Linked DNA regions of Saccharomyces cerevisiae S288C. The protein of the gene in region 1 purifies or fractionates together with the protein of each later gene. This does not show direct contact. Each region holds a gene or a part of one and is shown in the gene's direction. Other genes may lie near its edges. The genes, in order: YET3, CUE4 and YPF1.

Region 1 (2,806 bases):
TAAAGTCTTTGATTTTGGTTTGGAGTTTTCATATATATCAAACAAATCTTTTGATTTGGGTGGATGAATTGTTCTTTTGGGTCTACCACCACTGACGCCTTCTCTATTTCCGCTTTCCCCAATATTGTCATTGGTGGTACTAACTGAACGTCTAATGACAAGTGGGGAATCCATATCCTCATTTTTTTTCCGGTTTCTGCTTGTTTTCTTCAAGGCAGAAGCGGGTAAAACTCTTGGTGGCATTGCAGATAACTTTTTTTCAAAATACTTTTGAATCCTTTTAGCCATCGAAGAGATTGAAGATTCTGGACCATTAAAGTTTAAACAATTATCCACCATTGTTTTGAAGTCCGATGTGACTTGCTCTACTGAATGATACACGTTGCCCTGCAATTTTGTTTCAATTAAAGACAAATCCATTGGGGTTTGAACGTAGTTGAAATAATGCGGGATGTTCAAAGCAATAGGATCAACCGGCTTCAGAAACGGTCTAGCATCTTTTAATCGTTTGGTCGCCTTAATGGAGCTTAAAAGGTATTTACTTTGGTGTGGTGGTAGTTCCTCCGCTTCCATTTCAGCTTCCAACGCCGGCTCTGTTTCCCGTTCTAGGCCCAAAGGGTGCTCGGGAAAACTTTCCGGAGTGGATGCATTACTAATGGAAATGGGAGACAAAGTTTGGTGGGCGTGGGATGAAGAATTCAGGTTAGTGATACCGCTGCTCGCAAGTTTGTAATTTTCCTCGTGTCCATAGTGGAAGATATCCCTGAAGTGGGGTCCATCGTCGATACTTACCGCGCTGACATTACCGCTATCGTCACCGACGCCGACATTGATATTGTTTTTGTTACTACTACTCTCGCTGCTGCTGTTGCTGCTCCTGCTATTTGCAGTAGCACTCTGTGGTGCTGCCAGTAAAGCAGAATGTGCGTGTCTTGTATCCATGTTAGTACGAGACATAGCCGCCGAGGTTTATTTCGCTCAATCTGTTTGTTTCAGTTTTTCCGCGTTCTCTCTTTTTCGCTCTTTTCTGGCTACCGCGCCCGCCTTATATATAAAATCTCTTCCGAATAACAAAGTGGCCGAAACAAGCGCCAACGTCGACCATTTTGCCACCGTGTCACTGTGCACGAGCAACGAAAAACTGGCGTTGGTTGCGCCTCACGAATTGCTTGAGCCTCTTCCCAATATCATCGCGCATTTATTTGAGTCATTCTCTGCCGCTTTATTATTAAAAGTCTGTGTGCTATCAAAATGCTCTTGCTCCTGTTCACCCTCTATGCGTAAACACTTGCGCGTTTCTCCCTTTCTCTTTTAGCGTTGTTGACGTTGCACTCTTTTTTCGCCTCTTTCTTTTTTTAGCTAGAGGGTCACCCTGCCTGCTTCACTCCATTAAGGGGAAGAAGAGTGGAAAAGTGCCGTATATAACAATGGTATATAGCAAATCCCGATTTAGTAGGAAGATAGAATAGTGAGCTCTTCCAAGGTAACCACGTCACATTATACTCATAACCATAGAATTCACAGAATTGAATCATGTCATTATATTACACCTTGGTTTTTGCCATTCTAGTGGTGGAGATTTTCATGTTCTCCATTCTAGCCCTACCAATCCCTTCTAGATACCGTAGGCCTCTCACCTTACTGTTATTAAAGCCGTTCAAATCCTCCACAGTGCAAGTTGCGATCAAGTGTGTACTTGGGTTCATTCTTTTGCTTTTCATCGATTGTATCAACAGAGTGTACAGCATCGACAAAGAGCTGCAGTTAAGTAGCGCCTCTCAAAATAATGGCGCTATAATCGCTCAAGATAGAATTGAGGTTCTTTCTAGGAAATTCTTTGCCCAAAGGAATATGTATTTGACAGGTATAACTTTGTTTTTGACCTTTGTCGTCGTTAGGACTTTTGGGCTAGTCATAGAACTTTTAACCATGAAAGACATATACAGAGCATCGCCTCCAGTAGCCTCCAGCGATGTCAAGAAGAACGACTCTGTTACTGCCGAAGCTGCTGCTCAATCCGGCGCTTCCAAGGATGACCACGGCGATGAGAAAAATTTTGAACTATTGAAGAAAATTCAGGACATCGATGACGAAATTGCACGTTTAAAGGAGAAGTCGGAATCGTTGCAAGAAGAAATAAATTAGTTTGACGTTTTATTCCTTTTCTTCTGCACAGAAGTGTGTATATATATATTTATATATAGTCGATGTGCAAAAGCCTACATTATTTTTCTTTTGATTTTTATTTTTTTGTTCAAGTAGGTTCATGCCGACAGTAAATCCTTATGCCCTACCTAAATATAAACACCCAAATATATATATATATATATATATATATAAATAATAAAAACGGAAAGGAAATAGAATAATAATAATAATACTACACGTTTACGTATGTAACTCATTCTATTATTCAGACTTTGATATTAATAGAATTATTACTACTAGGTTTCCTCACTTCAAAATCTATAAATATACCGTCATGCTCTAATCGATTGGAAAACTCAAAATATTCTCTTACTGTAGCATTGAACGTCTCAATTAAAACACAGATTTTTTGTATCCTTGTTCTCAACTTCATATCTTGGATCTGCTTCCAAATTGTCACCTCCCGCCCCCCAGTAACTTTCAAATCTTCCACATTCTGATTACCAATTTTGGCTACATCTTGCTCATCTTCCATACATTTGCCAAAAATATTAAAATCAGGCACCGGTATCTCAAAATCTAGACCATTACCGCATAAGGTAGCTAAGTTTCTCGTCTCACTTTCGTTCTTAGCAACACTCGCAACCAAATCTTTCGG
Region 2 (2,570 bases), on another chromosome or scaffold:
CAGCTCCTGAGATGACCTTAACAGCGCATATTTCTTAAGTTTAGATTTATTGGAATAGCCGCCGAACTTTGGAACCTTGTAGTCCTGCTTCGCGTCATCCATTTCCAAATCAGAAACATATTCCTCGTCAGGGGCAGTAGTTAGATCATCCGGGTCCGACTCATTATGCTGCGAAGACGTCTCACTCGACGAAATATCTGCTAACTCCGAATATTTCAGATTAGAAGGCTGTTTAGCCAATAAGGGACGCTGTTTTGCAGCAGACGCAGTCAAGTGGGGCGTAATCCTTTTAATGGAAGGTGGCGCAGAAGACCCAGAAGATCCAGAGGAGGCCGAACCTTGTTTGGTCCTATTAACTAAAGAAGTAGCCGCCGAAGTAGGCCTGTTGCCCGCCCTCGATTTCGGGGTAACAATGTGGTTGTTGGGTCCTTCTAGGCTAGTTTGTGAGGTGTTGTTCAACAGTGAGTGCACTAACAATGACTTGTTGACGTTCTTTAATAAGTTGGTCGTGGGGTCCTGCTGTTGCTGTTGGATTGGCGAAGCAATTCTCGAACCGGAGTCATGCTCATGCTGGATTGGCGATGCGATGCGATCCGTGGGAATATTGGAAGAAGGGGAGAAGAATCGTTCCACGGAACCATTTTTCCGGGGTTTAAGCATAGTCTTGCTTGTTGGCGTATGTGAGGTAGTTGCATTCGCAGTCAAGTTTTCCATGAATATGTCCGAAGAGACAAGATCATCTAAAGTGGCAGTATTTGTCGTAGACGAGGCGCGGTTGAAAGCACTGGGTGACCTGGTGGCACTCCTTGAGATTGCTGGGGGGACACCTTGTTCTGGTGCTGGCGCGACCAATGATTCCTGTGAGATGTTGTTAGAAAGCGCACGTTGTTGCTGTTGGTCATTGGCCATAGCCTGGATGTTCACGAGAGATGAGTCCACCTGCGAGTTCTCAGGGAGAGAGGTGTCAAGCTCGAATTGTGGTTGGTAGGGCAAAAACAAAGATGCCACGATGAGAGCCATTGTGTTGATCTTGCGTTGCTATTGTATTCTTTGCTTTGTTTGGTTTTTTAATCGACGGGTGGGTGGATGTGCAATGACACGGTAGATCCTTATATTTATAGTTACATTAGTATTTATATTTAAGCTTGGCTAGACGGGGGCCCCAGGGTGAGTGTGCTAGCCCCTTGGTTCTACCCCCTTCTCCTTCCCTAGGTAACTGACACCATAGCCGCTGCCCGGACCCCCGCCCCTTCCTATCTCCCTTCGGCGAGGGCGCCAGGCCCGCCAGCCGGACTTAGACACTTTCGAGCAAGCAATCCCAAATACGCCATATCAAAATGCAGGGGCGGGGTGACCCGCTTTTCTCGAAATTTCTATCTGGCCCTCTGTTTCGCCCCTTTTACCCTGAACGCGATTTTTGAGCGAGACGAGAAGAGCAGAAATTTCGCAATAAGTTACTACAATGGTGCCCGCTTTAGAATAATAACTCGGGACACATTTATACATTCCCACACACACAGACGAGGCACGGCTACCCACGCGCACAAAAGTAAAAATGGATGGATCGACTATAGTGTTTATACTGACGATGGTGTGCTTGTTTGTTTACACCGTGAAACACAGGGGCGCCAAGCAAGTACCCTCGCGAACCGTACAGGATGCCAAACCGGCGCCCTCGGTCGCCACCAACGACCCTTCTCCGGAGCCAGTACCATCGGCTCCGGAGGAACGCGTTGCTCGGTTAAACAGACATGGTAGTGATCGAAAGAGAGCCGTTAATAGTGACATGGTTGAAATCGTGATGACGATGGCGCCACATGTGCCTCAGGAAAAAGTCGTGCAAGATCTCAGGAACACAGGGTCCATTGAGCACACAATGGAAAATATCTTCGCTGGCAAACTAGATTAGGCATTCTTATGTACCGCATTAAATATATTAAAAATCACAAATCGACTGGCGTAGGATGTATGCGCCTCTTTTTACTATCGCTACTATTGCAGGGGATCTTCTTCACCGGCAGCATGTTCACGATCCCACCTGCCTCGCGCTGGTTCTTAGCCGCTACCGCGCTCTCGTCAGTGTCTAGTGGCTCTGCATGCATCGCTGGCGGCTCTATCCTTGAACCGAATTGCGTTTCTGTGTCGATCGATACATACGAACAGAATCCGTCTGTTGATGAGATTAGTAGGGTCGAGCCATCCTCAGACCATGCTAAATCAGTTATGGGTGAGTAATGTATATTTCCCACAACGCATAACGGCTCCAATACATCCGTGTCGTACACGAGTACTTCGTTAGTCGTTGCTATGGCAAATACTAGCTTATAGGGCAGCTTAAGCACACTCTTCTGGCACGTTTCGTAAAATACGGGCGAGAAAGCCGCCATCAGCGCTGGTTTCTTCAAAGATGGGATTCTAATCGCAGGCCGGTTTTTAACGCCACCAGCGCTGTTCAGTATTCCAGATCTAGTATACACGTATACGCAGTTCGCGACTTCATCACCAGCCACCTTATACACACCACTGGGAATTACGACCAAACCACCACAAGGCGATATGCTGCATCGCCT
Region 3 (4,303 bases), on another chromosome or scaffold:
TCTCTGGCTCCTGCTTCTCTTCCTCAGCCATACCAATGCTATTATTGGCTCTTGTATTAATGCTAGACTCAGTTGAACTTTCAAAATCCAAATATGGGGGTGCACATGCAAACCAGAATTTGTGTTTGAGCCAAGCGCCCATACGGAAAGACGTGGGCAGGAAGATGCGAGTTTTGGGAGCTGGTTTACCTGCTTCATCCCCATCCTTAGCGGCGCCTGAAGGCTGCACGGGATTATTCCAATGAACCACTCCTATAAATATACGTGTTGACTGTGCCTTCTCAATCGCCACTGTGCAATCTCTCATAATTTTTACTAATTTCGCTTGGTCTGGCTGTAAAAGAGAATTTATGTCTGGAATGATAACAATCTCAAATTCCTTAACATGTGTAGTTGCTAACGAGTCCAAGCTTGCAGTTGTTGAGTTCAGAACCGTGACCTTTATTCCTCCGCCCGGATAAGCGTCATTGATTGCCCTCTTCAGTTGTATATCACAAGTACTTGGCATCGAAGAGGCTAATTTTTCCTTTGAGACGCTGTCTCTATACATACATAGAAAGCTCTTTTTAGCTGTAACAGAAAACTTCAAACATGTCTGAAAATCCGGCAGATTATGATCGCCCATTCCTATTTTTGCCACATCCAATCAATAATTTTGCAGCTCCGATTTTGCAGGTGTTGCTGTTCAATGGAAGTAATCGTTGTTATAAAGGAGCACATCACCAAGTCCTCTAAGGCTTAAAGGTTTGTCGTTATGCACGTAAAAGATGAAATTTTTTTATGGCTAGATGAGCTCATCGCGATTTGAAGAAAAAGAGTAAAGAAAACAATGCTAAGAAACTACAATAAGAGCAAGTTGCATATCATCGAATAATACTAGTGGGGTTTTCTAGTTCGTTACAGCCAACAACAGACAAAAGATATGGCTAAACTTGTACATGATGTTCAGAAAAAGCAGCATAGAGAACGTTCTCAGCTAACTAGCCGTTCCAGATATGGGTTTTTAGAAAAGCATAAAGACTATGTGAAACGTGCTCAAGACTTCCACAGGAAGCAGTCCACTTTGAAAGTCCTCAGAGAAAAAGCAAAAGAGAGAAATCCAGATGAATACTACCATGCTATGCATTCAAGGAAGACAGATGCAAAAGGACTGCTGATCAGCTCACGTCACGGTGACGAAGAAGACGAATCGCTTTCCATGGATCAAGTTAAATTACTCAAAACGCAAGATAGTAATTATGTGAGGACGCTGAGGCAAATAGAGCTGAAAAAGCTGGAGAAAGGAGCGAAACAGTTGATGTTCAAAAGCAGTGGGAATCATACAATATTCGTCGATTCCCGAGAGAAGATGAACGAATTCACCCCAGAGAAGTTTTTCAATACCACCTCCGAGATGGTGAATAGATCTGAAAATAGATTAACTAAGGACCAATTAGCCCAAGATATTTCAAACAATAGGAACGCTTCATCAATAATGCCAAAGGAATCATTAGACAAAAAGAAATTGAAAAAGTTCAAGCAAGTCAAGCAGCACTTACAGAGGGAAACTCAATTGAAACAGGTCCAACAAAGAATGGATGCTCAAAGAGAATTGTTGAAGAAGGGTTCCAAGAAAAAAATCGTAGACTCTTCAGGAAAAATTTCATTTAAATGGAAGAAACAACGGAAACGTTAGATTTTTACCATCTATATAGTATATATAAGTGAATCAGGCAGACGTTCCGTAATCCTTCTTTTCATGTTTTATAGGATTACGTTTATAAAAAGTATTCACTTTTCTTAAGTGTCTTTTGCGCCATCAAAAAAAAAAGGATTTTGAGGCACCGGAAAAAAAAGAACCCCTCTCCGAATGGGAGTATTTAGGACAAGATTTGTAAAGTGCTCCCTTTTTGAGCAATACTACAGATCTATAATGGGGAACAAACTCATACACGATGGACAAGTATTTGAATTCATTTGTTGACCACCTTTCAGAGTGGTCATCTCGTGCCTTTAGGAACAATTCATCAAGCGCTAACCAAAGTGCGTCGAACAAGGAATTAGAACAAGTTTTTGAACAGATCAATGCTATAGTTGAAAACCACAATAACAAATTAACCACTGCCTTTGATAAGATATCATATCGCGTTGCTCACAAGATTACACACTTGGTGGAAAGCCATTCTTTAGTATTCAACTACGCCACTTTAGTTCTCATCGCAAGTGCTTTGGTCGTTATTGGCTCATTTACGTCTATTTCTTCTATTCCATTTACAGCTCTACCTCCTACGAGAGAACACTCATTGTTTGATCCTACAGATTTTGATGTGGACCACGACTGTCATGTTATCTACCGCGAGAATGACGAAGATAAAAAGAAAAAGAAGAAAAGCAAGAGGTTTTTCGATATGATGGATGAAAAACATGCGATTATACTGCCCTTAACTAGTGGCTGTACTTTACTCGCTCTCTATTTTGTGATCAAGAAACTACACCTAAACTGGCTAAAATATGTGGTGAAAATTTTGAATTTTAATATAACACTGCTAAATATCCCAGCTGGCACATTTGTCTACTCCTACTTTCTCAACTCACTTTTCAGAAACCTATCACATTTAGCTTCTTGGAATCCCCTGGTTGTTTTACCAAGGTATCGTGTAACAATAGCTGATGATAACGAAGACCTGAACAAGATAGGCGGGTTTGTTACCAATTTGAATTACAAAGATGGATTGACCAACTCAGTTGTTCACAAGAAAACATTGGATGAGATTGAAAAAGATCATTGGATGAAGCATTTTTACAGAAGAGAATTAGTTGAACCGAAGGATATTAAATCGAAGAGGCAGATCAGCAACATGTATTTGAATAGCGCATTAATTGTTTCGTTCGTTCTGTCCATCGTTTCTACCGTATATTTCTATTTATCACCCAATGATTGGTTAATATCCAATGCTGTCAGTATGAATATGGCTATTTGGTCCATTGCTCAATTAAAATTGAAGAATTTAAAATCAGGGGCCCTAATCCTAATTGCTCTATTTTTTTACGACATTTGCTTTGTCTTTGGTACCGATGTAATGGTTACAGTAGCTACTAACCTTGATATTCCCGTAAAACTAAGCTTACCAGTCAAGTTTAATACAGCTCAAAACAACTTCAATTTTTCAATACTTGGTCTGGGTGATATTGCCTTGCCTGGTATGTTTATTGCGATGTGCTACAAATATGACATCTGGAAGTGGCACCTTGATCATGATGACACTGAATTCCACTTTTTGAACTGGTCATACGTTGGAAAATATTTTATTACTGCTATGGTTAGTTACGTTGCTTCTTTGGTATCTGCCATGGTCTCCTTGTCCATTTTCAATACTGCTCAACCGGCTTTATTATACATTGTTCCTTCCTTGTTGATTAGTACTATTTTGGTAGCTTGCTGGAACAAGGATTTTAAGCAGTTTTGGAATTTTCAGTATGATACGATTGAAGTGGATAAAAGTTTAAAAAAAGCGATAGAAAAAAAGGAGAACTCTATAACTTATTCGACCTTCATCCTATCAGAATACTATAATGATGCCGACAAGTATGCCTTGCTTGGTGATGATGTAAACGAAAATTTTGACGATGATGAAGAATTCGTGCAAGAGGAAGATCTCAGTGACAGCTCTGAGGAAGAGCTTTCTGAAGAAGATCTCTTGGATGACGAATCTTCTTGAGCTCCAAAAGAAACGACAGCTCTTTTTACCCCTCCAGGGTTGTATTTATCTTCTAATCTAGGACAATGTTTGTAAAACCCTCTTTCTTTCCTTCGTGTCTCATGTCTCTCCATTTATTAATGTTCTTTTAAACTATGTTTTCTCACGCCTGTCCATTCGGTTCTCGTACGTTAAATTTTTCAAATTATTGTTGTATAATTATATAACATCTATATAGAATTTATGAACGTCCGGCATTTCGAATTACTCTCTCCACATCATCATTAAACTTTTCAAAGGCTTTATTGGAACTTGTGTTTGAATGTTTGCTTCTTTTTTTTACAGTAATTACCGTAGATGCATTGGGTGTGCTAGTAATCTTGATTTTGAATTTGAAGTTGCCTTTTACAAATTTACAATCGTATTCCACCACCTTTCTCCCAAATTTGTGATCTAGGTTCTTTAATTGATAGTCGATACTATTCTTGTTGAATTCATTTAATGTTAGCATATGCGCATCATCAAATGATATATTCGTTACATGATTCTTGGATGCCTTAGTAGCATTATTATGAGAAGAAAAGTTTTGAAATAGTTTGACGAACCAATTCTTTTTATCACTGGAA

The links.
Region 2: the proteins of YET3 (region 1) and CUE4 purify together in Saccharomyces cerevisiae (affinity purification with mass spectrometry, with the first as the bait; one large-scale study listed by BioGRID). This does not show direct contact.
Region 3: the proteins of YET3 (region 1) and YPF1 purify together in Saccharomyces cerevisiae (affinity purification with mass spectrometry, with the first as the bait; one large-scale study listed by BioGRID). This does not show direct contact.

Annotation. Positions count from the first base shown.
Region 1 is NC_001136.10:329,175-331,980, reverse strand, and holds YET3 (Yet3p), read left to right. Parts: upstream 1-1,533; coding exon 1,534-2,145; downstream 2,146-2,806. Other genes in the region: BDF2 (Bdf2p), read right to left, coding at 1-957; AHK1 (Ahk1p), read right to left, coding at 2,414-2,806. UniProt on the Saccharomyces cerevisiae protein: May play a role in anterograde transport of membrane proteins from the endoplasmic reticulum to the Golgi. May be involved in invertase secretion.
Region 2 is NC_001145.3:69,074-71,643, reverse strand, and holds CUE4 (Cue4p), read left to right. Parts: upstream 1-1,555; coding exon 1,556-1,909; downstream 1,910-2,570. Other genes in the region: TSL1 (trehalose 6-phosphate synthase/phosphatase complex subunit), read right to left, coding at 1-1,020; YML100W-A (uncharacterized protein), read right to left, coding at 1,333-1,506; CAC2 (Cac2p), read right to left, coding at 1,944-2,570.
Region 3 is NC_001143.9:253,092-257,394, reverse strand, and holds YPF1 (aspartic endopeptidase), read left to right. Parts: upstream 1-1,934; coding exon 1,935-3,698; downstream 3,699-4,303. Other genes in the region: MTC2 (Mtc2p), read right to left, coding at 1-625; rRNA-processing protein UTP11, read left to right, coding at 923-1,675; protein kinase HSL1, read right to left, coding at 3,919-4,303. UniProt on the Saccharomyces cerevisiae protein: May act as intramembrane protease.